Drosophila melanogaster: one gene and its partner. The protein of the gene in region 1 interacts with the protein of each later gene in a pairwise test. Each region holds a gene or a part of one and is shown in the gene's direction. Other genes may lie near its edges.

What was found.
Region 2: the proteins of Nct (region 1) and Uggt interact in a two-hybrid assay, tested with the Drosophila melanogaster proteins (one large-scale study listed by BioGRID).

Annotation. Positions count from the first base shown.
Region 1 is NT_033777.3:24,849,739-24,861,092, forward strand, and holds Nct (nicastrin), read left to right. Parts: upstream 1-1,862; 5' UTR 1,863-1,910; coding exon 1,911-1,974; intron 1,975-2,099; coding exon 2,100-2,195; intron 2,196-2,247; coding exon 2,248-2,937; intron 2,938-2,999; coding exon 3,000-3,801; intron 3,802-3,864; coding exon 3,865-4,076; intron 4,077-4,137; coding exon 4,138-4,348; coding exon of another isoform or gene 4,349-4,352; exon of another isoform or gene 4,353-4,486; coding exon of another isoform or gene 4,487-4,499; exon of another isoform or gene 4,500-4,623; coding exon 4,624-4,648; 3' UTR 4,649-5,131; downstream 5,132-11,354. Other genes in the region: Esp (epidermal stripes and patches), read left to right, coding at 1-495; CG7006 (uncharacterized protein), read left to right, coding at 977-1,032, 1,084-1,570; HDAC11 (histone deacetylase 11), read right to left, coding at 5,365-6,207, 6,264-6,452; CAH4 (carbonic anhydrase 4), read right to left, coding at 6,719-6,829, 6,879-6,958, 7,011-7,161, 7,217-7,573, 7,634-7,774; ppk22 (pickpocket 22), read right to left, coding at 7,884-8,059, 8,119-8,403, 8,463-8,691, 8,745-9,012, 9,063-9,196, 9,250-9,439, 9,506-9,712, 9,777-9,973; CG13639 (uncharacterized protein), read right to left, coding at 10,373-10,582. UniProt on the Drosophila melanogaster protein: Essential subunit of the gamma-secretase complex, an endoprotease complex that catalyzes the intramembrane cleavage of integral membrane proteins such as Notch.
Region 2 is NT_037436.4:18,871,041-18,884,468, forward strand, and holds Uggt (UDP-glucose-glycoprotein glucosyltransferase), read left to right. Parts: upstream 1-1,706; 5' UTR 1,707-1,909; coding exon 1,910-2,138; intron 2,139-2,321; coding exon 2,322-6,739; 3' UTR 6,740-7,205; downstream 7,206-13,428. Other genes in the region: Rad9, read right to left, coding at 1-813, 922-1,073, 1,128-1,354, 1,411-1,444; CG3961 (uncharacterized protein), read right to left, coding at 8,047-8,184, 8,247-8,420, 8,471-8,699, 8,762-9,939, 10,038-10,211. UniProt on the Drosophila melanogaster protein: Recognizes glycoproteins with minor folding defects. Reglucosylates single N-glycans near the misfolded part of the protein, thus providing quality control for protein folding in the endoplasmic reticulum.

The DNA of each region.
Region 1 (11,354 bases):
CTGGTGCCTGGAGTTGGAACCTTTGTGGCCTGCCTTGTCTTGCCGCTGGAGTGGGGCATCCTCATTGGAGTGGGACTCAATGTCATCTTTATCCTCTACCATGCTGCGCGTCCCAAGCTGAGCACCGAGCTACTGACCACACAGTCGGGTGTGGAGTACTCAATGATCACGCCAGATCGATGCCTGATCTTCCCGTCTGTGGATTATGTGAGGAATCTGGTCAACAAGCAGTCCATTAGGCAAAATGTCCCAGTGGTCATAGATGCGTCGCATGTCTACGGGGCTGACTTCACAACGGCCACGGTTATAGACTCGCTGATCAGTGATTTCAATCAGCGAGGACAACTGCTCTTCTTCTACAACCTCAAACCGAGTATCTGCTCCATTTTCGAGCACGTGTCGGCGGCCCAGTTCGTGGTCTACTACCAGGAGCAGCAGTTGGATGAGCTGCTCAAGGAGCGCAACTATGTGCAGAAGCGGCTCGAGACGGCCTAACTGGCTTATTCTCCTCAACACGTGATACAAATAATTTAGCCTAAGTGTTTGCTTTAATTATTTATGGCGTTGTAAATAGATTGTAAACTAATTGTGTAGTATTATCCAGAGCACACAACTATTAGAAATTGTAAGGTGAACAAATAAGTGTATTTCTTAATTACGTAATAATAACAAACAAAAATAATTTATCTTGTTTATTTCATGAAAGAGTAAAAGTCAGTGAGATTGGTTAACTCAAATCAATTAAAACTATTATTCAGTTTTGTTTATCAGATATATTTGATTTTGAATTTAAATACTTGGGCAATATACAACACTTGATAATGGCGCTATACAGCACTCTTAAGCTATCGATAAAAGCTATAGATAGACCGATATATTCAGTGCTGTTAGCCGTCCCTACTCAACACTGAAACATTTCTCACGTGTAAAGTTGAGCAGTTTGTTTTCCTCTTTTTTCCGCTTAATTTAACTTAAAATGAAACGCCTGAGCGACGAACGTGCCAAGATCTTGTTCGAGCACCTGTCCAAATAGTGAGTACCCAAAACAGATCATCGCAATGCAGCTAACAAGTGCTCTTACAGCATTGGCACAAATGTGAAGCATTTGATTGACCGGCCAGATGGAACATATTGCTTTCGGGAGCACAAGGATCGGGTCTACTACGTCTCGGAGCGGATTTTGAAGCTGAGCGAGTGCTTCGGCTACAAGCAGCTGGTGTGCGTGGGCACCTGCTTCGGCAAGTTCTCCAAGACCAACAAACTGAAGTTCCATATCACGGCCCTCTACTACTTGGCGCCCTACGCCCAGTACAAGGTGTGGGTGAAGCCCTCCTTCGAGCAGCAGTTTCTCTACGGCAACCACATACCCAAAACAGGACTGGGTCGCATCACGGAGAACGCCGGCCAGTACCAGGGCGTGGTGGTCTACTCCATGAACGACCTGCCTCTGGGCTTCGGCGTACTGGCGCGTTCCACAACGGACTGCAAGACCGCCGATCCCATGACCACCGTATGCTTTCATCAGTCGGATATCGGCGAATATATTCGCGCCGAGGACACGCTCTTTTAGATCCATAGATGCTAAGTTTTTACATGTTTTGTAGCAATAACCATGTTTAGGTAAATAATAAGTATGCTGAAAAACGGATAAACTGCTTTTGATTTTATATTTTTAATGTTAATACTGATAATAATAATAATTGATAATAAAACTTACACTACATTTCATAAATTATTATTAAAAAAAAAAATTTTAAATAGTGAGCCAATATTTTGTGGTATATTTTATGCAAGGTATTTTTTGAGTTTGAAATAGTATATACCCGCATTTTCAATGCCAATGGTATTTTGTACCGAAACGGTCACACGCAACACTGCAATTTCTGGACGCGATTTCGTGGGAATCTTCGATGGAAATGCGTCTGAATGCGGCTTCCATATGGCTGTTAATACTGTCGTATGGAGCAACTATTGGTAATAATCAGGACGAAAACAAAGTGGAGCTTCCAGTAGCGACCGGCGTCGAAAACCCGCACGCCCACTTTTTAATATAGGCCAAATAACCTGAGTCATCTAACCCGAACTTTCTTTGTCCACAGCTCAAGGAGAAAGAACCCGCGATAAGATGTACGAGCCCATTGGAGGAGCTAGCTGTTTCCGACGGCTGAATGGCACCCATCAGACAGGCTGTTCCTGTGAGTCCATTGAGAATATACCTTGAAATCCTCTATAATTCTTTCTTTTCAGCAACCTACTCCGGTTCCGTGGGCGTACTACATCTAATAAACGTCGAGGCCGACCTGGAATTTCTTCTTAGCAGCCCACCATCTCCACCTTACGCCCCCATGATACCACCTCACCTGTTCACACGTAACAACCTGATGCGCCTAAAGGAAGCCGGACCAAAGAACATTTCTGTGGTGCTGCTGATCAACCGCACGAACCAGATGAAGCAGTTCTCGCACGAACTCAACTGCCCCAATCAGTACAGCGGCCTGAACAGCACCAGTGAGACCTGCGACGCCAGCAATCCAGCCAAAAACTGGAATCCCTGGGGCACTGGACTTCTGCACGAGGACTTTCCCTTTCCTATCTATTACATAGCCGATTTGGATCAGGTCACCAAGCTAGAGAAGTGCTTTCAGGACTTTAACAACCATAACTACGAGACGCACGCGCTGCGTAGCTTGTGCGCCGTCGAGGTCAAGTCCTTTATGTCCGCCGCTGTCAACACCGAGGTCTGTATGCGCCGCACCAACTTCATCAATAATCTTGGAGGAAGCAAGTACTGCGATCCGCTCGAGGGACGGAATGTTTACGCCACCTTGTACCCCCGAAAGCCAGCAATCGAAAACAACTTGGAGACAGTCCATACGAATGAAAAGTTCATATTAGTAACCTGTCGCCTGGACACCACCACCATGTTCGATGGCGTCGGTGAGTTCAAGTAGTGGAATTACTACTACTTCGACTACATGATTTATTTCTACAATTCACAGGTCTTGGAGCCATGGACTCCCTCATGGGATTTGCTGTTTTCACTCATGTGGCGTATCTATTAAAACAACTACTTCCGCCGCAAAGCAAAGACCTTCATAATGTCCTCTTTGTGACTTTTAATGGCGAATCCTATGACTACATTGGTTCTCAAAGATTTGTATACGACATGGAGAAACTTCAATTTCCTACTGAATCCACAGGCACGCCTCCGATTGCCTTTGACAATATTGACTTCATGCTGGACATCGGGACACTGGATGACATATCGAATATTAAGCTGCATGCGTTAAATGGAACGACTTTGGCTCAGCAAATTCTAGAGCGGCTAAATAACTATGCGAAGTCGCCACGCTATGGCTTTAACCTGAACATTCAGTCCGAGATGAGCGCTCACTTACCACCTACGTCGGCGCAATCATTTCTGCGACGTGATCCAAACTTCAATGCATTGATTCTAAACGCTCGTCCAACGAACAAGTATTATCATTCCATATACGATGACGCGGATAACGTGGACTTCACCTATGCGAACACAAGCAAGGATTTCACCCAGCTGACGGAAGTTAATGACTTTAAAAGCTTGAACCCAGATTCACTGCAAATGAAAGTGCGCAACGTTTCCTCTATTGTGGCCATGGCCCTATATCAGACAATAACTGGAAAGGAGTACACTGGCACCAAGGTGGCCAACCCTCTGATGGCAGATGAGTTCCTTTACTGTTTCCTGCAATCGGCGGACTGCCCACTCTTTAAGGCCGCATCTTATCCGGGCAGTCAGCTCACCAATTTGCCTCCGATGCGGTAAGTTAGCTATAAACATGCCTATACTTGGATTTATTTATTGCTAGCCTTTCTTTTCCCAAGCTACATAAGCGTCTTGGGTGGCTCTCAAGAGTCGTCGGGCTATACGTATAGATTGCTGGGCTATCTCCTGTCACAACTGCAGCCAGACATTCACAGAGATAACTGCACCGACTTGCCGCTGCACTATTTCGCCGGATTCAACAATATCGGAGAGTGTCGCCTCACCACGCAGAACTACAGTCACGCCCTGAGTCCAGCTTTTCTTATTGATGGTTAGCCCTGAAATGCCTTTATTGTCTTGTGCAAACATTTTTACAATTAAACTTTCATTAGGCTACGATTGGAGTTCCGGCATGTATTCCACTTGGACTGAATCCACCTGGTCACAGTTCAGTGCACGCATCTTCCTGCGCCCGTCCAATGTGCACCAGGTCACAACTCTAAGCGTTGGCATAGTGGTGCTGATAATATCCTTCTGTTTGGTGTATATAATCAGCTCACGATCGGAAGTCCTCTTTGAGGATTTGCCGGCAAGCAATGCCGCGTAAGTCCCTTCAGATGCATCCACTTGTACATCGTCAGTTTGCTCATCAATTACTGGGAAACTCATGTCATCTTTAGTGCTCAGATTTTGTTTGGTTTCTATGTATTGTAATATTTATTTGAAATTTATTGTTTCTAGATTATTTGGTTGATGTCACAACTGCCACAGCGACGAAATCATCGCGTTCAGCAGCTCATTCCATAGATTTCTGCATGCGTAAACTAAACGTTACTTGTAAACCAATCGATTAAGAATTTCTGATTGTGCCCTTTTAGATCGCCGCGGCCGACAGCCTGTTAAATCTTCAAAGAATATCTGATCACGTGCCGAAGATGATTGGTTGCTGAATATGATCTAAAACAAAAAACAGACTTAACAAAGACACTAAAATGATATTCTAACTCGTCTTATTTAAAACATTAAGCAAACGTTTATTTATATGTATTTTTGTATTTTAAAGTAGTAAATTAGCTTCTATCAACTACGTTGTATCATATATAGACATTTAACCAATTGCGACAAAATTCTTTCCACTTGTCCGGCCCTTTTTGCATTGTACATAGGATTAACCAACCCAATTGAACCTCTGATAATGCCAAGGAAGAGATGTCTGTACAAATATTGACAAGAAACTGCTATAACTTATAAATCACTGGAAATATTTATACCTTCTGCATCTATTGCGATACTGAACTTAATGATCTGAAATCATTACTTCATAGAAGACAAATAATTATTATAACGACTTTAAATTATATATGTTTAATAAATTTTGATAAGGTGTAAAGCAATGTCCTGTTATCTAGTTAGGTTATTTTCAAGGCAATTATTCACAGCTCTCAGATTCCAACGATTGATGTAGTTTAATCTCAACTCTTTACCAAAGAAGTCCATTTGTACTAGTGTAAAAGATATTTTCAATACTCTTAAAATCGTGGAAATACTTTTGGGAATGGTAAGAATTGGCAAAATCCGAAGTTTTGACGATATTATCGTCTTAAATATTTTTAATTTCTTTAGTTTAGCAATCCTTGAAGCCGAAGATTAACAATCGAATCTGTAATTACCCCTGCGGATGCCTTCAAGTAGCCACCACTCAGCAGCATCACCACCGGAATTCCTAATGCCCGAAATGTACTAAATACCAACCGATCCCGCTCAATAACGCCCTCCGCGGAAATAGCCAGGTTGCCCAATGGATCGCCCTCGAGCACATCGGTTCCCGCATTATAGACGACCATATCTGGACGGAACTCGGCCAGGGACTGCATCAGGCAGCGTTTTAGTTGCCGCAGGTAGAATCCATCCTCCGTGTAGTTGCGCAGCTCCACCGCACACCGAATGCTCTCCTTGGCCACATGATCCCGCGGATAGACAAAGGCATTGTACATGTCGAAAATGTAGACGGCTGCCACGTTATTGAAGTCCCGCTCGTGCCCATTGCCCTGATGGGCATCCAGGTCCACAATCATTATGCGGCGCACCCGGAATGGTTCCTGCTCGAACAGCCTGACGATGAGCAGCGAGATGTCAGCATATGGACAGAAACCACCGCCTCTGTACGAGCAACAGTGATGGAACCCACCGCCCAGGTTGATGGCCCAACCATAATCCAATGCCAGCTTACCGGCCAAAATGGAACCGGCTGCTTGAAAGCGCATGGGTCGCAAATAGGAACGCTGAATGTATCGATTCGGGACGAAGGCCATCAGCGGCACTTCAGCGATGCAGGCCACATTCATGCTCCAGCGCAGTGACTTTAGGTATTCCCTTGTGTGAATACGACGCAGCTGGTCCTTGGTCAGCTCCGTGGGTTCGTAGAAGCTGCCGTCGTCGAGCTGCAGTTGGGCGCACAGGAGCTGTGGTCCATTGATTGGTATATAAAAGTTCAGGAGATCGGGAAATGCATACGAACCTTGTGAATGTGCTTGCCCTTGGCCGCATCGAAGGGATGTAGGCGTTCAAGGCCACCGAAGCGAACCGCATAGTTCCTTGAGAACACGATGGGCAGTTTGCCGGCGGAGCGTGCGTCATCCCGCTTAACCCAGACAACCTCCTCGGACTCCTGCTCCTCGTGGTGCACTCGCTCAGTCAGGCGCTTCATTTTGTGGTTCAATTTAGGCGTGGATTACATCTGTCCGACACCAGTTGAATTGGCTACGCAAATAGCAAATGCAATTTCGCATCTTTGGGGTTGGGAACGGGAATGGGAAAGGGTGGATGCGCCATCAGCTGGCGGCCGGCAAAAAGCTTCCATTCAAGCACTTGGACTAAGCTTTTGCATAAAACAACAAATGCACTTAAAATAATTTTAATACACTATGTGACTTGGACAATACATATTACATGATATTCACTTGGCTAAAACACTTATTTTGCTTTACTTCTATAAACTGGTCGGTCATGGCCATCTTGCAGTTCCCTGTAGGTGTTAAGGACGCGCTGGTCACGAGAGTCCCTCAGTTGCCAAAAGTGCTTCCACTGTTGATTTATATCACAAAAAGGAACTACTTCTGTTTAGATTACTTACCAGCTCCTTGGGAACATCGAGAGGAGTCGGGAAAACAAACCAGATGACTGCCTCGGCACAGGGAGGAGTAGTAAGCGAACCTAAAACATATATGTATGAATGGATATCCAAAAGCCAAAAGAAACATCTCACCTTGGTAGGTGAAGTATTTTTGGCTGTCTATGCTAGCAAAAAGGTCCTGCAAAGCCATGCTGTCCTCCAGAGGACACGAATCATCCAACTTAGTTATGCTGGATACCTGTTTACAGATCATGTTCATAGCTGGCGTCTCGATGTTCGGATCCTTCAATGGAAATAAGATGGCTAGAGTATAGGTAAAGCGTAGAGGCACTTCCTACCTCAAGGTTCCTTATGAACAGGGCCAAAACCGCAAAGCCATTCGGCTGCAGACCGGCCTCCTTGTTGCTTTTGTAACTGGCATTCTTGTGAACGATGTGCACCTCCCCATCGTAATAGTTGCCATCCAAGCAGTGCTCCGATCCCTTGCTCAGTGCGGAGCCCCAGTGAAAGTGCAACTGGTCGGCCTCGAAGACCTGTTGGCCTTCAGTACTGATGCAAAGGGATGGCCGACTGCCGTCGACGGTCTTGGGTATCCGCATGAGAACTGTTAGCCCATTGTTGATCACGGATAAAGGATCGCACAGGCTCTTATGGTAATTCAGGAACTTCAGTTTGGGTACATTACATGTAATGGCCTACGGATAAGCTAAGTTTATTATTGCATTAGGATATCATTATCAGATAGAATGGCTTACATTGCATGACCACAGTGCAATGGGCGATTGTCTTTCACCGCACTTTACATTCCAATCCCTTCCCTGTTTATCATAATTGAATCCAAAATGACTTCTTGTCCCCGAGTTAATTGGGGCAAAACTTCTTGCCACAAGAAACATGTAAAAGACTTACAGACTTACAATACTAGACTACGGACTAAATAAAACGAGATTTGTTGACATATATTTTTCAGGTGCTGAGATGCAGAGTAAGGTTGCCAAACGTTCTTCAAGGACATATGTACAACTTCTTCGTTTCCAGCTCCTTGGCCTTCCGATCCATAATGTTCTGCTCCACCATGCGATTGCAGCCTTTGTAGATGTACTTGGTGACAAAAAAGAGTATCTCGAATATGGCCACCATGGAGAAGCCGACGAAAATGGACATGATGTTACCTATGGTACCTGTAAATTGGAAAAATTCGATACAACTGGCCATAGGAAGAGTGTAGATCCAAACCCACTGAATACTTCGAACCAGGTGTTATTCAGCAGTCGGATATAGTATTGGGCATGGGGGTCTCCGAAGTAAACCCTGAGAACGGAGATGTCTGTACCGAACTCCGTCTCGTTGTTCTCGTCCAGCTTCAGCGTGGCCAGGTAGTTATCGATTGGCAGGGCACTCATTGAAACCTCGTACTGGACATCCCGGCAGGAGGGCAGACATTGTGGGCAATAAAGAGCCTCCTCGATTTCCCGCTCCAAGCCATTAACAATGTGCCGTTCCGTCAGTATATTGCGCCACTTAACTGGAAACGAAAATATTGAAATGGAAGAACGTGTGCGCGTAAGCCGCTGATTGGCTTACATATGTACTGATTGAGACAGGAAACGTGTCCCAAGGTGCAGTAGACAACGCCATCGAGATTTTCCACCAGTTGAAGGGGCATTTGGAAGGGGAGACACCGGCACAAGGCAATGATACTCCGGATCCGGCACCTGGTTATGCAATTCGGGAAGGTGTAGCTAAGGCTGTACGTGTTCATTAGCTGCTCATGGATCGGATTCTGTGCCTCGTACTCAAAATAACAGCGGCGCTATAAGATTGATATTATAGGTGGTCTTGAATTTGAAAAATAGAACAGCATACACTGAACGGCGAAAATGATTTTAGGCTATCATCAGTGTCCACCACTCGCGCGCAGACCGCAATGTAGCTATCCTCTCCTTGGCCAGGAAACATCTCGAGCACATTGGAGGAATAAACCGAGGCATAGTTTTCAGCATTGTGAATCATGACAATGTATCCATTGGTGTTCAGAATGGGGGCAAAGTAGTCCACGTGACTGTCGTTCAAGACTACTTTCAGACCCAGTTCCGAGCTGGCTAGACGATTCTTGAAGTGCCGTTTCTTTAGTCTGTTGAAGATTTGGTTAAAAAAGAAATAATAATAAGAGCTACCATTAACTTGTTCTCCATGTTGAAGGTGCAGCAGGGTCCGTACATGGTAAGGCTATCCTGAAAGGCATCCTTGCTGAAGCAGGGCACTTCCACATTGGCTACGGTGCACTTCAGCACGAATCCTTGGCATCGCGGGGTCAACTGTGAAAAATAGAAACAAGATTCAATATATTCTCGATCCGTGCTATTCTTACCATTTTCATTATGCGGCGAGTGTCGAAAAAGGTCTCATTGTTCCAGGTGCCGAAGACGTCGAGGAAGGTCTGGAAGGTAATGAAGTCATCGGTGTCCACCACTACGCCAACGTGTGTATAGAACTCGCGGAAGAACCTTAGGCGCTCTAGAAAGTATTCCACTGGGCGAATTACAGGACTGTTTAACCTCCTAACAATAAATATAACAACAAAAATTTAAGTACACAAATATTTATTTCAATAATTTTAGCCTCACAATTCTTCAGCATATTGGATAACTGCCTGGCGAGAGATGCGATTGTTGGGGCAGATGGAAACAGCCGGGAATGGCACATTCTCCACTGGAAAAAGAGGATCCTTCAGATTGGTCACAAAGGATTGGGCCACGAACTGCTCCCATGTTAGCGAGAGCACCACAATCAGGGAGACGGTGGTGGCCATGTGTACCAGCAACCAAATCAATCTATTAAAATATGACTATGCCGGCTTACGTTGCGTATGAGTAATATTTGGGAAAACTTTTGTACCTTTGTCCCAAGGTCAAGTCCGGTGACAAAAGCTTATTGTAACCCTGTAGGGATATGTTTCTAACCAGATCCGCCATATCCAAGCAGAAGGCTGAGCCCAAGGACTCCTTGCGTTTACCTTTGGAATTATGTTCCCCGGCTGCCTTGGGATTCTTAATCCACCAAATGGCATTGGATGTTGATGCCAGCTTGACCATATTTCTGAGGTCTTTATTTACTCCAATCCTTTCCGAGCTACTGTTTGTTGAACTCTGACTGGTAACTAAGAGTTTGTATAGCTTACAAGTGTTCATTGATGAATAAAAGTATCACGAAATAGGCGTGACTAGCTAATGCGTTTCCTTCATTAATGCGGTTAATTATGATTAGTTTAGGGGGAACTTTAGAAGTTAAAGCAGAAAGGTTGTACTTTATGACATTTTTAATTGCCATAGTATTCCATTGGAATAGTCTTTGACACACTGTTCATGTTACTAATCTTAAGCTTAATCCTATTAAATATTTTCCTGTACAAGATGTAGCAGTTCATTGTCTAGCTAAAGCTGAGTCAAGTCTTTAATGTATGTTTATATGAAGTTAACCATGCTAGTCCAGTCCTATCCCATTGGCCAGAAGGGCTGGCCAGGATAAATGCGGGATCCGGGAAAGGCGTACTGGTTGGGATTGACCACTCGGGCGATATCCGTGTAGCTGCGACCGTCACGCTTCGGTGTTTGATGGTATCCACGGGCCGGGGAGCCAGACACGACGATCAGAAGAAGGAGCAGGGCGACCATAAGGCAATGGATGGCTCCTTGGACGGACATGGCTTGCAAGAATTGATATGTGAGTGCTCCGCTTCCAGTACTGAACTGCACTGATGCCGGTGACCAGCCTATTTATATGGATATCGTCGGCTGATCGGTTCTTGGCGTTCTCAGACGCTTGGCTTATCAATCAGGTTTTCGCAAACGACTGAAGCCCCCAAGAGAATTGCTTTGCCGCTCACGTAGATCTCGTCTCTTTGTGTGAAATGGATTTTTATGATCACTTTGTTTTCTCAATATTTACTGACACGGTGCCCAGCGCCAAGTCATTCACACCGCAGCCCGTTATTTCATCCGATCGGCAGTGAGTTGGCATATACATATGAACATCCAACACCTGATCTTGACTCTAATTGCACTGTGAATGATCTAGCCATATGTAGGCAACTCGACCCAGCCTCTCAGCATAAGTGCTCGCTCGTACGTATTTAAATTGTAATTAGCGACTCTGTCGGGGTATTGGAGTAATGACGTAGGTGCGCCATCTGAGGCGGCGTATTAGCACATTCTTGCATAAACAATTGCCATGTTCGGCGCGATTAGTTGCCACTGACTTGGGCACCGAAGTCTTCCTTCCTGTACTGCGATCTGGTTTCTGGTTTCACTTCCTCAATGCCGGTCGTCGGTGCTCCGGGGGGAAGTCCTAGCTGACCAGCTGCATCTCGGCGTGAATCACTTGCTTACTCGTGCGCAAGTACCTCGATGGGATCGTTAAAAGACTATATATACCACAGTTGTGAGCCATGATAAGTCCAGTCGGATGATGACTTGG
Region 2 (13,428 bases), on another chromosome or scaffold:
TCGGAGGAGCTTTTCGCAGGTTTAGGTTGTTGAGAGTCGTCTGTGTTGATAAAGCAAACCTCCGTGCTGTTCGGCGGCTCTGGAGCAGGTGCCATGCTGGCCTCCAAAGCGGCATCCGCGGCTGCCAGCATGAGAGCCTCTTGTTCCGCCTCATCTTCAATCAGAACCACAGTGTCCACCTCGGCTAGGATGCGAGGGTGCTGAACAGATGGCGCCTCCGAGTCCCGGAACTGAAACAGTGGATTATCTAGGCTCGATTCTAATTGGGTCTCCTCAACTCGCCGTTTTGGCTGCACTGCAGCCGGTTCCGAAGAGCTGCCTTTGCGTTTGTTGGTCACATTCGGCTTCGAAACGCTGCTCTTTCGCTTTGCGGCCGCCGCTCGTACATCCTCATCCTGCACTGTCAGATCCTTTTGACAATAATCTTCCGAGAAGCTTATATCATCGGGGGATAGCGTGGACATGATCAGCAAGCATTCAATCTCGCCATGCTTCTTAATTTTGAGCAGGAAAGGCATGCCCGCTTCGTCGAACTCCAGGGTCAGCGAAGCATTTAAGCACTCGGCGAAGAGGAGAAATGCTCGGAATTCCTTAATGCAGAATGTAATGACCGTCTCCTTCGTTACCTGGTACTGCTCAAATTCACTGGGCTTAAGTTTCAGCTGCGTGCGCATGAACTTATCATTAACTCGGGCTCCTTCTATGTAGTTTTTGGCCACCACACTGCCCGAGTTTGCCTCCAAAGTAAGTTCCTCCTCTGAGGAGTTAAAGTTATTGGATATATCCGTCAACAGCTTGTGATCGCCACGGATTCTGAAATGTTGAGTAGTAAATTCGGATTTATATGGGCATAGTTGTTTTAAGAGAAATAAGGTAAGGAGATAAACTTAATAGTTATCCTTAACACAAACCAAAACTCACATATTCGGCATCTGATCGGTGTTAATGTTTGTGTTAATGTTTTGGTCGTCTATGATGGAAATGGTGGCCTCCTTTGTGGTCTCCAGCTTACAGCGGAGATTCACCTGCAGGTTGGTCTGGTTGTCCAGCAAGTTGAGTTCACAGTACTCCACCTGGAACATAATATTCTTAACAACTAATCCCAGTGAGCAGACTTTCGAACTTACCTCATTCATGTTGCGGAACACGGCCAAACATCCCTTCATGGAGATCTTGCAGTAGAAATCTGAGTGCGGCGGCATGTCATACACTTCGAACATGGATCTTTTGAACGATATGCTGCCCACTGCGGATTGGGTGGCATTTATGGCCCGCATCTGCAAGGATTGCTGGTCGATCTCGATGAACATCTCCTTGCCCACCTTGGACAGCGATTGTACGGCTTTGGCGATGACTTAAAAAATGAATTCTTTTAGTTATCAATATATTTTGCTGTTTATTATGTGGTACCTCTTGCATTGCTGCCCTCTAAAGTGTATTTCATTGGCAATATTTGCACTATGTTTTTGGTCGCGAAATTCGCGCTGAAATTTGTAAACAAACAAATTAGAGTGATAGTAGTCGCACAACAGGTATGAAAAATACCAACAAAGGAATTTAGTTACCCATTTATGCATTTTGAAGTAAGTATGTACTATTTTTATATTTCAATAATTTCTTTTATAATTTAAAGCAAAATATTTCCATATTGACAATTGTCCGTAAAATAAATAAATTTAAATAAGTTCTTCAACCCGATGTAGTTCCAATGTAGTCTGGTCACACTGCGGCATGCCGGTTCATCAACGAACGCCACATCAGTTCTAAATCAAATTAAGAAAAACTGGGCTAAAACCAGCCGAAAACTGGTGAAAAGTAAAATATTTGGAGAAGGAAAGCCTTAAGTTCCTCTCTACGCTTAGTATACGTAATGTGCGTGGTTTAATCTACGTTAAAACAAGTGGAAACCATGTTACGTGCCGTGGCTTTGTGTGTGTCTGTGGTGCTCATAGCACTATATACGCCAACTTCTGGGGAATCCAGTCAGAGCTATCCCATCACCACGCTAATCAACGCGAAATGGACGCAGACGCCCCTATATCTGGAAATCGCCGAGTATCTGGCCGATGAGCAGGCGGGCCTCTTCTGGGATTACGTTTCGGGGGTGACCAAGTTGGACACGGTTCTCAACGAATATGGTTTGTGTTTATAAGTCATGGAGAACCCGCATTAAAGAGCTTTTATATTCTCCTCAATGTGAATCGAATCCATATAAAATCAAGTAATGGTTCGGAATATAAAATCACCTATTCCCAAAGCCCTATAATGTGATCTTTTCCCAAAGGGTAATTTATTTTTCTGATTACGTTTTCGCTTTTCAGATACCGAGTCGCAACAGTACAATGCCGCCTTGGAGCTGGTCAAGAGCCATGTGAGTTCTCCCCAATTGCCCCTGCTTAGGCTGGTGGTATCCATGCATAGCTTGACGCCCCGGATCCAGACCCACTTCCAGTTGGCCGAGGAACTGAGGAGCAGTGGCTCTTGTCAGAGCTTTACTTTTGCCCAGGTGGGTTCCGAACTGGCCTGCAGCTTTAACGAGCTGCAGAAGAAGCTGGAAGTGCCGCTCGCCAAGGATAGCTTGGATGCTTCTGTTGTCACCTACAGCTTTGATCACATTTTCCCTGGCAGTGAGAACAATACCCGCACTGTGGTACTATACGGCGATTTGGGAAGCTCTCAATTCCGCACCTATCACAAACTATTGGAAAAGGAAGCCAATGCTGGCCGGATTCGTTACATCTTGCGTCATCAATTGGCCAAGAAGGACAAGCGACCGGTACGACTTTCGGGCTATGGAGTGGAACTCCATCTGAAGTCAACGGAATACAAGAGTCAGGATGATGCTCCAAAGCCCGAAGCTGGTTCCACTTCTGATGAGGATTTGGCTAATGAATCGGACGTCCAGGGCTTTGATTTCAAGGTGCTGAAGCAGAAGCATCCTACACTTAAGAGAGCGCTGGATCAACTGCGTCAGAGGCTTCTTCAGGGAAACGATGAGATCGCCCAATTGAAAGCATGGGAGTTCCAGGATTTGGGTCTCCAGGCGGCCGCTGCTATTGCAGAAATACAGGGTGATGAAACCCTACAAATTCTTCAATATACTGCCCATAATTTCCCCATGTTGGCCAGAACCCTGCTGGCCCACAAGGTTACGGATGGCTTAAGGGCGGAGGTAAAGCATAATACGGAAGCATTTGGAAGAAGCTTGAATGTAGCGCCTCCAGATGGTGCCCTTTTCATCAATGGACTCTTCTTCGATGCTGACACAATGGATCTGTATTCCCTGATTGAGACGCTGCGCTCGGAGATGCGTGTTCTCGAGAGTCTGCACAGTAATAATGTGAGGGGAAGCCTTGCCAGCTCCTTGCTCGCCTTGGATCTGACGGCCTCCAGCAAAAAAGAATTCGCCATCGACATCCGTGACACTGCAGTACAGTGGGTCAACGATATTGAAAACGATGTGCAGTACCGCAGGTGGCCCTCATCGGTGATGGATCTTTTGCGTCCAACCTTTCCTGGCATGTTAAGGAATATCCGAAAGAATGTGTTCAATTTGGTCCTAGTGGTAGACGCGCTGCAGCCCACAGCTAGAAGTGTTATTAAACTGTCAGAGTCGTTTGTCATCCATCAAGCTCCCATTCGCTTGGGTTTGGTTTTCGATGCGAGGGACGCCAACGAGGATAATCTTGCAGATTACGTAGCCATCACGTGCGCCTATAACTATGTGAGTCAGAAAAAGGATGCCCGAGCTGCTTTAAGTTTCCTCACCGACATCTACGCAGCAGTTGGTGAGACCAAAGTGGTCACGAAAAAAGACATAGTCAAGCAACTAACGAAGGAATTTACATCATTAAGCTTTGCCAAAGCGGAGGAGTTCCTGGAGGAAGATTCCACGTACGACTATGGCAGGGAGCTCGCAGCAGAGTTCATTCAGCGGCTGGGATTCGGAGACAAGGGACAACCTCAGGCCTTGTTGAATGGTGTTCCAATGCCCAGCAACGTTGTGACCGCCGATAGCGACTTCGAGGAGGCTATTTTCACCGAGATTATGACCCACACCAGCAATCTCCAAAAGGCTGTGTACAAAGGTGAACTGACAGACAACGATGTAGCCATTGATTATCTGATGAATCAACCTCACGTGATGCCCAGATTGAATCAGCGAATCCTAAGCCAGGAGGATGTGAAATATCTTGATATTAACGGCGTGGCCTACAAAAATCTTGGCAATGTTGGAGTTTTAAATCGTCTGTCTAACCGGGATATGACCGCTACGCTAATGGATAATCTTAAATACTTTGGTGGCAAGAAGTCTACGGAGCTTATTGGCCGAGCATCCCTACAGTTCCTAACGATTTGGGTGTTTGCTGATTTGGAAACTGACCAGGGTCGAGATCTGCTCACCCATGCCCTGGACTATGTCCAAAGTGGAGAGAGTGTGCGAGTCGCATTCATTCCAAACACTGAAAGCTCTTCCGCCTCAAGCCGGAGGAATCTTAATCGATTGGTTTGGGCTGCCATGCAGAGTCTTCCACCAACTCAAGCCACGGAGCAGGTTCTCAAGTGGCTAAAGAAACCAAAGGAGAAAATTGAGATACCCACTCAGCTCGAGGATATCCTGGGATCTACAGAGCTGCACCTGAAGATGTTGAGAGTTTATTCCCAGCGAGTGTTGGGTCTAAATAAATCCCAGCGTTTGGTCATCGGTAATGGGCGGCTTTATGGGCCCCTTTCGTCGGATGAAAGCTTTGATAGCGCCGATTTCGCTTTGCTAGCCAGGTTCAGTTCTCTACAGTATAGCGATAAGGTGCGTCAGGTCCTGAAGGAATCTGCTCAAGATGTCAATGAGGAATTCAACAGCGATACATTGCTTAAGTTGTATGCCAGCCTGCTTCCCAGGCAAACCAAAACTCGCTTTAAGCTACCAACGGACTTAAAAACCGATCACTCGGTTGTAAAACTACCGCCCAAACAGGAGAATCTTCCCCATTTTGATGTTGCCGCCGTTTTGGATCCCGCCTCCCGAGCAGCTCAAAAACTAACGCCAATACTTATTTTGCTTCGTCAAGTGCTGAACTGCCAATTGAACTTATACCTGATTCCCGTCCCCCAGCACAGCGATATGCCCGTGAAGAACTTCTACAGATACGTTGTGGAACCGGAGGTCCAATTCGAGGCGAATGGAGGCCGATCTGATGGTCCTTTGGCCAAATTCAGTGGATTGCCAGCCAATCCTCTGCTGACCCAGCAGCTGCAGGTTCCCGAGAACTGGTTGGTCGAAGCTGTGAGAGCAGTTTACGATCTGGACAACATTAAGTTGACCGATATTGGTGGACCTGTGCACAGCGAATTCGATCTGGAGTATCTGCTGTTGGAGGGTCACTGCTTTGATGCTGCTAGCGGCGCTCCGCCCAGAGGACTTCAGTTGGTGTTGGGTACCCAGAGTCAACCTACCTTGGTAGATACTATTGTGATGGCGAATTTGGGTTATTTCCAACTTAAAGCCAATCCAGGAGCTTGGTCCCTACGCTTGCGTGAAGGCAAATCGGCGGATATTTATGCAATCAGCCACATTGAAGGAACAAATACCCATCATTCGGCTGGCTCTTCTGAAGTTCAGGTTCTTATAACCTCCTTGCGATCCCATGTTGTCAAATTAAGGGTGTCTAAGAAGCCAGGCATGCAGCAGGCGGAACTCCTGTCAGATGACAACGAACAGGCAGCGCAATCAGGCATGTGGAACAGCATCGCCAGCAGTTTTGGCGGCGGCAGTGCCAACCAAGCAGCCACTGATGAGGATACGGAAACCATCAACATTTTCTCTGTGGCATCGGGACACTTGTACGAACGTCTTCTAAGGATCATGATGGTTTCGCTGCTAAAGCACACAAAATCACCTGTGAAGTTCTGGTTCTTGAAGAACTATCTTTCGCCGCAATTTACGGATTTCCTTCCTCACATGGCCAGTGAGTACAACTTCCAGTACGAATTGGTCCAGTACAAATGGCCCCGCTGGCTGCATCAGCAAACGGAAAAACAGAGGACCATTTGGGGCTACAAGATCCTTTTCCTGGACGTGCTCTTCCCGCTGAATGTGAGGAAAATCATTTTCGTGGATGCCGATGCCATCGTAAGAACGGATATAAAGGAGTTGTATGACATGGACCTCGGAGGAGCACCCTATGCCTACACGCCATTCTGCGATTCCCGCAAAGAGATGGAGGGCTTCCGATTCTGGAAGCAGGGATACTGGCGAAGCCATCTGATGGGCAGGCGTTACCACATTTCCGCCTTGTACGTGGTGGACTTGAAGAGATTCCGCAAGATTGCGGCAGGAGATAGGCTAAGAGGCCAATACCAGGCACTTAGCCAGGATCCGAACAGCTTATCCAATTTGGATCAGGACTTGCCCAACAACATGATCCACCAGGTCGCCATCAAATCCCTGCCCGACGACTGGCTATGGTGCCAAACGTGGTGCAGCGACAGCAACTTCAAGACTGCTAAAGTGATTGATTTGTGCAACAACCCGCAGACCAAGGAGGCCAAACTCACGGCCGCCCAGAGGATTGTGCCCGAATGGAAGGACTACGATGCCGAGCTGAAGACCCTGATGTCTCGCATCGAGGATCATGAGAATTCGCATAGCAGGGACTCGGCAGTTGATGATTCGGTTGACGATTCGGTGGAGGTCACCACTGTGACGCCTTCTCATGAGCCCAAGCACGGCGAGCTGTGATGAACGCGTAGTTAAATCAACATGTTTAGTGAATTTAAATATCGATGGATAAACACTTGATTACTTAGCTAAGAGCCATCTCCGAAATAACGACTAAACACATTTGTACATTTTAATTAGAACATAATGCGATTGATAACGTAAACCCAACTCAAAAAGAAAACAGCTCACTAAAGTCTGAATTGTGTTTTGTAACTCGATTTCGAACGATTTTCTTGTCTTGCATTCCAAGAGCTACTAATTAAGTTAAGCCGAAATTAAATGTCATCATACTAAATACGCGCCTTTAAGTTGAAGATTGTCAAATGTATTAAAAGTTGGAGTAAATAGTAATTAATTCAGCGTATTTTATTAACCATTTATTTGGGATGGTCAGGCCACTTTACCCCCTCGAAAAGCTTTGGTGACTGCGTATGTGCGTTAGGTGGCAACGCCAAATTCAAATAAAGTTTTCAAAAATCTCAGTATTTCAATTTGTATTTTTGTTGGTTTTATTTCATATTATTTTGAGTTAACTTGCTTTCGTATCTACATAAAGAATCTATTTAATAAATTTAATACAATGCTGCTTTACTTTATTGTTTAGCTCTTAATATGAAATAGTTCATTATTTTAGCAATTTATTAATAAATTTTCATTTGGTATTTAGTAAGGCAGACAGTGCAGTCCAAAGACGTTGATCTTTTCCATATTTATTATTAGGTTTGATCTGCTTCTCGATTGGCGTTCATTTGTAAGTTAAAAGTAATTCCTCAGCATTTGCGATGAACATTTCATTCCCATTAATTTAGTTTTAGCGTATCTAATATATAGTTAAAAATTTGATTCTTCACTTTAGTTTCCATCTAGCGCTGAGTGTAGTATACAATAGTTAATTAAAGCTTTCTTTTTATTCAATTTGCTCAATATGTTATTATATATGTTTTGGTTCAGACTACGCAATTGTTTTCTATCCACTTTTGAACTAGCTCATAAGTGTTTAAAGGGAAATATATAGTTAATATATTAATTAAGGTTCGCTTCTCGGTTAAATTATATAAAAAAATGCGGCTGCCAAAAGGATTCTCCTTGTCAGTTTGAAGTTGTGTATATTTTATGTGTATTGTATCTGTATCTGGTGTATCTTGCGCTCCTCTTACGTGCTAAGAATTGACGATACTACAAAATTAGACAGTTCGCTTTCGTATCTGTATCTGTAGTCTTTGTTATCATCAGTTTAAAATGGTATAGGCATATTTGAATGAATGCTTCCCAGTTTCTTGAGTTCGATTCGTTGTTGATGTCTATGTATGCATATAGGCATTGCTTTAATCCAGGTGTTTATACATATCCTCCAGCTGGGGCTTAAAATAGCTCTTAAGCTGCGGTCTCTTGGCTTTGAATGTGGGCGTCAGCAGTCCGTTTTGCACCGAGAAGGGATCCGGATGCAGATAGATATCTTTAACCTAAAATTAAATATCCCGGATATTATCTCGAAACCTATAGGTATGCTGATTCAAAAGCTCACCTGTTCGAATGACTTGAGTCCACTCTGCTTGCCCCAGTTGAGCATGTCGTTCATGATCAGTTCCTTGACATTCTTATTATTGCACAGGACGGAGAGTGTGCCGCGTACATTGTTCTCCGTGGCCCATTGCTTCAGTACATCGGTATCAGGTACAACAACAGCGATAATGCAGCTCTGAAAGAATTTGGTAAATATGTACATATATAATACAATTTCGGTCTTACCTTTAAGCTCTCTCCATAGACATAAACTTGATTTACGTATTGACTGAGCGTGTAGATATTCTCGATCTTCTCGGGCACTATGTACTCGCCCTGGCTAAGCTTGAAGATGTGCTTGCGGCGATCGATGATCCGTAGTGTTCCATTTGGCAGCCACATGCCCACATCGCCCGTATGATGCCAGCCCTCCGAATCGATGGCCTCCGCCGTCTTTTCGGGATCCTTATAGTAACTATTCACACAACAATTCAATGGATTAAACAAAAGTGGAATATTCATATTAGCTTTACCTACCCATGGAACACATTCGATCCGCGCACACACACCTCGCCAGTATTTTGATTGGCAAAGTACTCCATCTCCGGCACATCCACCAGTTTCACAGCATTGCAGGACACGGGTGGTCCCACATGGTTGGGCACATGATCTCCCTGAACGGTAAGGGTAATGGCCCCCGTGCACTCCGTTTGGCCATATCCCTCGAGAACCAGGCAGCCCAGAGCACAGCGCATGAAGGTCAGGACATTTCCGGCCAATGGGGCGGAGCCCACGACCATTAAACGAAGATTTCCGCCAAAGGCCTGATGCACCTTCTTGAAGACCAACTTGTCCCAGCAGCCGTTCCTCCGCAGGACACCCCTGGCGATCTCCTTCTCCTTCGCTCGCATAGCCATATTGAAGAGACCCCTCTTCAGTCCAGACGCTGAGATATCATTCTGAATCTTGTCGTAGACGCGGTTCAAAAGACGAGGCACTGCCGGCATTACGGTTGGTTTCAGCATCTTGAGGTCATTGGTTAATTCCTTGATGTCGCCGGAATAGAAGCCCACACAGCCGCCCACATAGTACATTCCATTCTCGCAGCAACGCTCGAACATGTGGGCCAGGGGCAGGAATGACACCATCACATCGCCCGCCCGGATGCGATGGTCGCCCATCTGCAGGATCACAGAACAGACGCCGGCCACCACGTTGCCGTGGGTGAGCATCACGCCCTTCGGATTGCCCGTCGTCCCGGACGTGTAGCACACCGTGCAAAGATCCTCCGCCGTCGGCGGCACCTCCGGATGGTTGCCTTTGGCACCTAGTTTCTCCACATCGATAAATGAGAATATCTGTATGCCTCGGCTGCGTGCCCGCTCCAGGGTCGTCTGCCGGATGGGCTTGATAGCCACTATGATCTTCAGACTGCGCGGCGCCTTCTCCAACAGCATGGCCGCCTTGCCATCGTCCTCCACAATCACCACCTGCATATCCGTCTGGCGTATGATGAAGGCGCAGGCATCGGGGCCCAGGGTGTCGTACAGCGGCACCACCACCAAGGAGAAGGAGTAGCAGCCCTGCTCGTACAGGATCCATTCCGGGCGGTTCTGCGAGTAGATCCCAATCAACTGCTTTGGCCTGGCTCCTAGCGCCAGCATTCCGGCTCCAAAGTTCTTGGCACGCAGCAGGGCCTCGTCGTAGTTGATCCACTAAGTTGACAAGGATTGGAGTAAATTAAATATGTAAATGCATATTACATATAACTAGAACTATATCAATTTCCAATTATGACTTTTGGGACTTTTACCTGGTAGGGGGAGGTCAGGGTCTCGCGCCAGCCAAGACATGGTCCATTGTTGGAGGCGTAGGCGCCCTCGCGGAACGTCTGGTACAGGGTGCGGACATTCTCTGTGATGTAGGACACGAACTTGCCGTTCTTCGACTCCTTGTAGAACTTGGAGACGTGTATTTGTTCTGGACCCTGCAATGCAAGTGAAGTGACCCCAAAAGAAACAGAGAAGTCGGAGGACATGCAATGAGTGAGATACGTTCAGATATTGAGGTAGAAAAGAATATATACAATCAAGAGTTCGGTGGGGTACAGATAGTATTTTTGTTGGGTTAGACAGATGCAAATACATATGTACATATGTTCAACGTTAGTGAGTTGCTTGTCTTGAGCTAAAAAAAAAAAATAAATAAATATTTCTTCGTCATTTAATTGCCATTAACGGAAATGGGAAGCCATATAAAAGATTTAGGTACAATGGGATATTGTCGTAAGTTCAAGTTTTAATTGATCTCATACGATCGGAAATCTGTTTCCCCTAAATCTAGAGCTATTATAGTCCGTCCATCCATTGAGTGTGTTTATTTTCGGTTACTTTAGCCAATTGTTAGAATAAAATCAATAACCATTCTAGTTTATGTACGCAGCCAAAAGGCTATGATTTATCATTTATTTTGTGGCCAGAGACATAAACCCATCACTCGGCGGGATTTCATTAGTCCGCTCGAAAGTAAAGCACATCGAGCCACTTCCTTTATGGTAAACAGCTGCGAAAGAAACAACAACCGCAATGGCCAAAAGTGTTGATGTACGAGAACGAATATCAAAATACTCTGCGATGGGGGAATATTTTTGTGGGGGGTACTGGTCCGCGGATCCAAAGAGTTAGTTTGTTTATTTTTGCTGCCCGCTTTTAATGAGCAAAATGCGAATGTATTTTCAAAACTAATTGTTTTCCACAGATTAAAGTGCTTTGCAAATTGATTTTGTTTATGGATTTCATTTTCATTATTGACGCAAGTCTAGGGGAAATTGTTAGTTAGCTAGTGCATACTACGAGGGGCTTAGTTTCATGGGGCATACCCTATGGTGGATATCTTGACGATGATCGTATATGATCTAGCCCACGAAATGTAAGAGACGGTAAACAAAAATAAAAGAAGCAAAATAAAGTATATATTAGTGATTGCTTAGTTAATCCTGGTCAGGCAGTTTTGTCATTTCATTCTATTTGTTTAGGTCCTCATAAAGGGGTTTACCTTGAGCACATCGCTCTGATTGCTTAGCTCGATGGGCACTCGTATACTGGTGATTTGGCCGCAACAGGACATGGTTTTCTTTTTTTTTCTGTATTATCACTTCTTAGGTTTACTCAATGTTTGCTGACTTTTGGACACTTTCTTCACTTATGGCTCTATTTATTGATCGTTCAGATTGCATCTGACATTTTACACGCACATTTTCCAAGCGACTGTAAAACACAAACGCGAATTTAAGCACATTTCCAATTCATTGACCAATTTGCATTCAATATCTGGCGTTTAATTGCCAAGTACGCCTCGCGTTTAAACGGTCCAATGTACATTTCAATTATAGATTTTCCCATAAGGCACATTTCATAACCGCATCGAGATCGTTTAAACGCTAATTAGCGCGCGCTTAAAATAGATTTGTAATTGAAGGGTGTGCGGAAAATGTTGTTCAGATATTAAACAGATATTATTGTTTATTTTATATCGATAGTTGCTCCATTCTATGTATTTTTTTTACTATTCAAAATTTTTGGTTCACTTCTTCTACTAATAATTTTTGGTATTTAATCTTATATTGATCGTATAGTATCATTCCTTATTTTATTAATCCACTTAGCATCTACTTAAATTCATTTTAAAACCTCACATAATATCTGAATTACACCAATTAGAACAAAAATTAAAAGCAGAACCAAAAGTCAAAAGCCATAGCATAATTATGACGCCTGGCTGTCCGTTTGCATATTTTTGGCAAGTGCGGCCCAGTCATTTTGTTTATAATTTTTCAATATTGGCAGCTGCAGGGCGGCCCCAAAAAAAGGGGATAGCAAAAAAAAAAGGCAAGAGAACGGTGTAAAATGGCCAAGACAAAAAGAGAGAGTGGCCAACACATTATCGACAAGGCGTCGTCTGCGGATTTTGCTTGGCCTGCCCCAAATTATTTTTATAAATAGTTCGTTTGTGGGTAAAAACGTTCCACTCTGTTGTTATCTATGGGACCCGCCAAATGTGTGTGGCGGCATTAAATAAAAGAAAAAAACCAAACTATGCTTTCACACACACACTCGAATACAATTAACACTTTATGCAAAATGCTAAGAAATAGAGGAAAATTTCAATTTTCTAAAGACGATCGAGTACTGAGTCATGGGGAACGCGTTTCGGGCCTCATTGGGATGTTTTGAGCCAATTGGCAGAGAGCAAACATTTTCCTCAATGAGCAATTCATCTTTGAGTTATGGTAATTGTGGTGGTCATAAAATCGGACATAAACTATTGGCCCAACAAAAATCGAGAGCCAAAGAAAAGAAATGAAAATAAATGAATGAAACAGCCGGGACCAAAAAGAATTTCAATTGAATCTGCAAGGTATCAATAGTTTGGCAGCATATTTTTAAAAATAAAAAAAATAAACGAAAGCCAGGAAAAATATGCGAGAATTTCAAGGTCGTTTGGGAAAAGCTTTTTTTTCGGTTTCCAGGTGGCTGGCATATTTTTTAAAGCGTTCTGAATTTATGTATTTTCTAGTACCAACTTCAAGTGCTCACAAAATTCATTGTTCTAACTTATTCCTTACTAACCATTATATTTTAGAAATTATCTTAAATAACAAACCACAGGGAATCTTTTGAATGCATTGGTTGTAATACAAAAGAATATATTTAAAGATATATGTGCGGTGGTTTTACTTCCTGGCATTTTGATTGATTAAGATAGATTGCAGTCGTGTTATATAGAGCCAAAGTTAAAATGTAAGGGGAAAAAAATATAAAATTGTAAAATTTGATTTATTTTTCAATTAGTGGCTATTTCTGTAAATCTCTTTGAATTTGTTGATACTTTCGACATATTTGTACAAATGCATTCACGTTCAAAAGTGCACATGGCTCAAAAATTCTTGAAAAATATAAAATGTATCTCTTAAATATAAACAGCTATAAAATGATATGGGCAATCTGTGTGTATTGTTAAGATCAACCGTTTACAACTGAAAAACCCCACCAATTAAGCCAACAACATTCATCAATCTAAATATGAATCAAAATCGTGTTAAAATTAGCTATATAACCAATCTGGGGGCTGAGTTTTTCTTAGATGTTTCAAGTATAGAAACTGCGTGAACTTGAACTTGAGTGGCTGAGTTCACGTGGCAACAC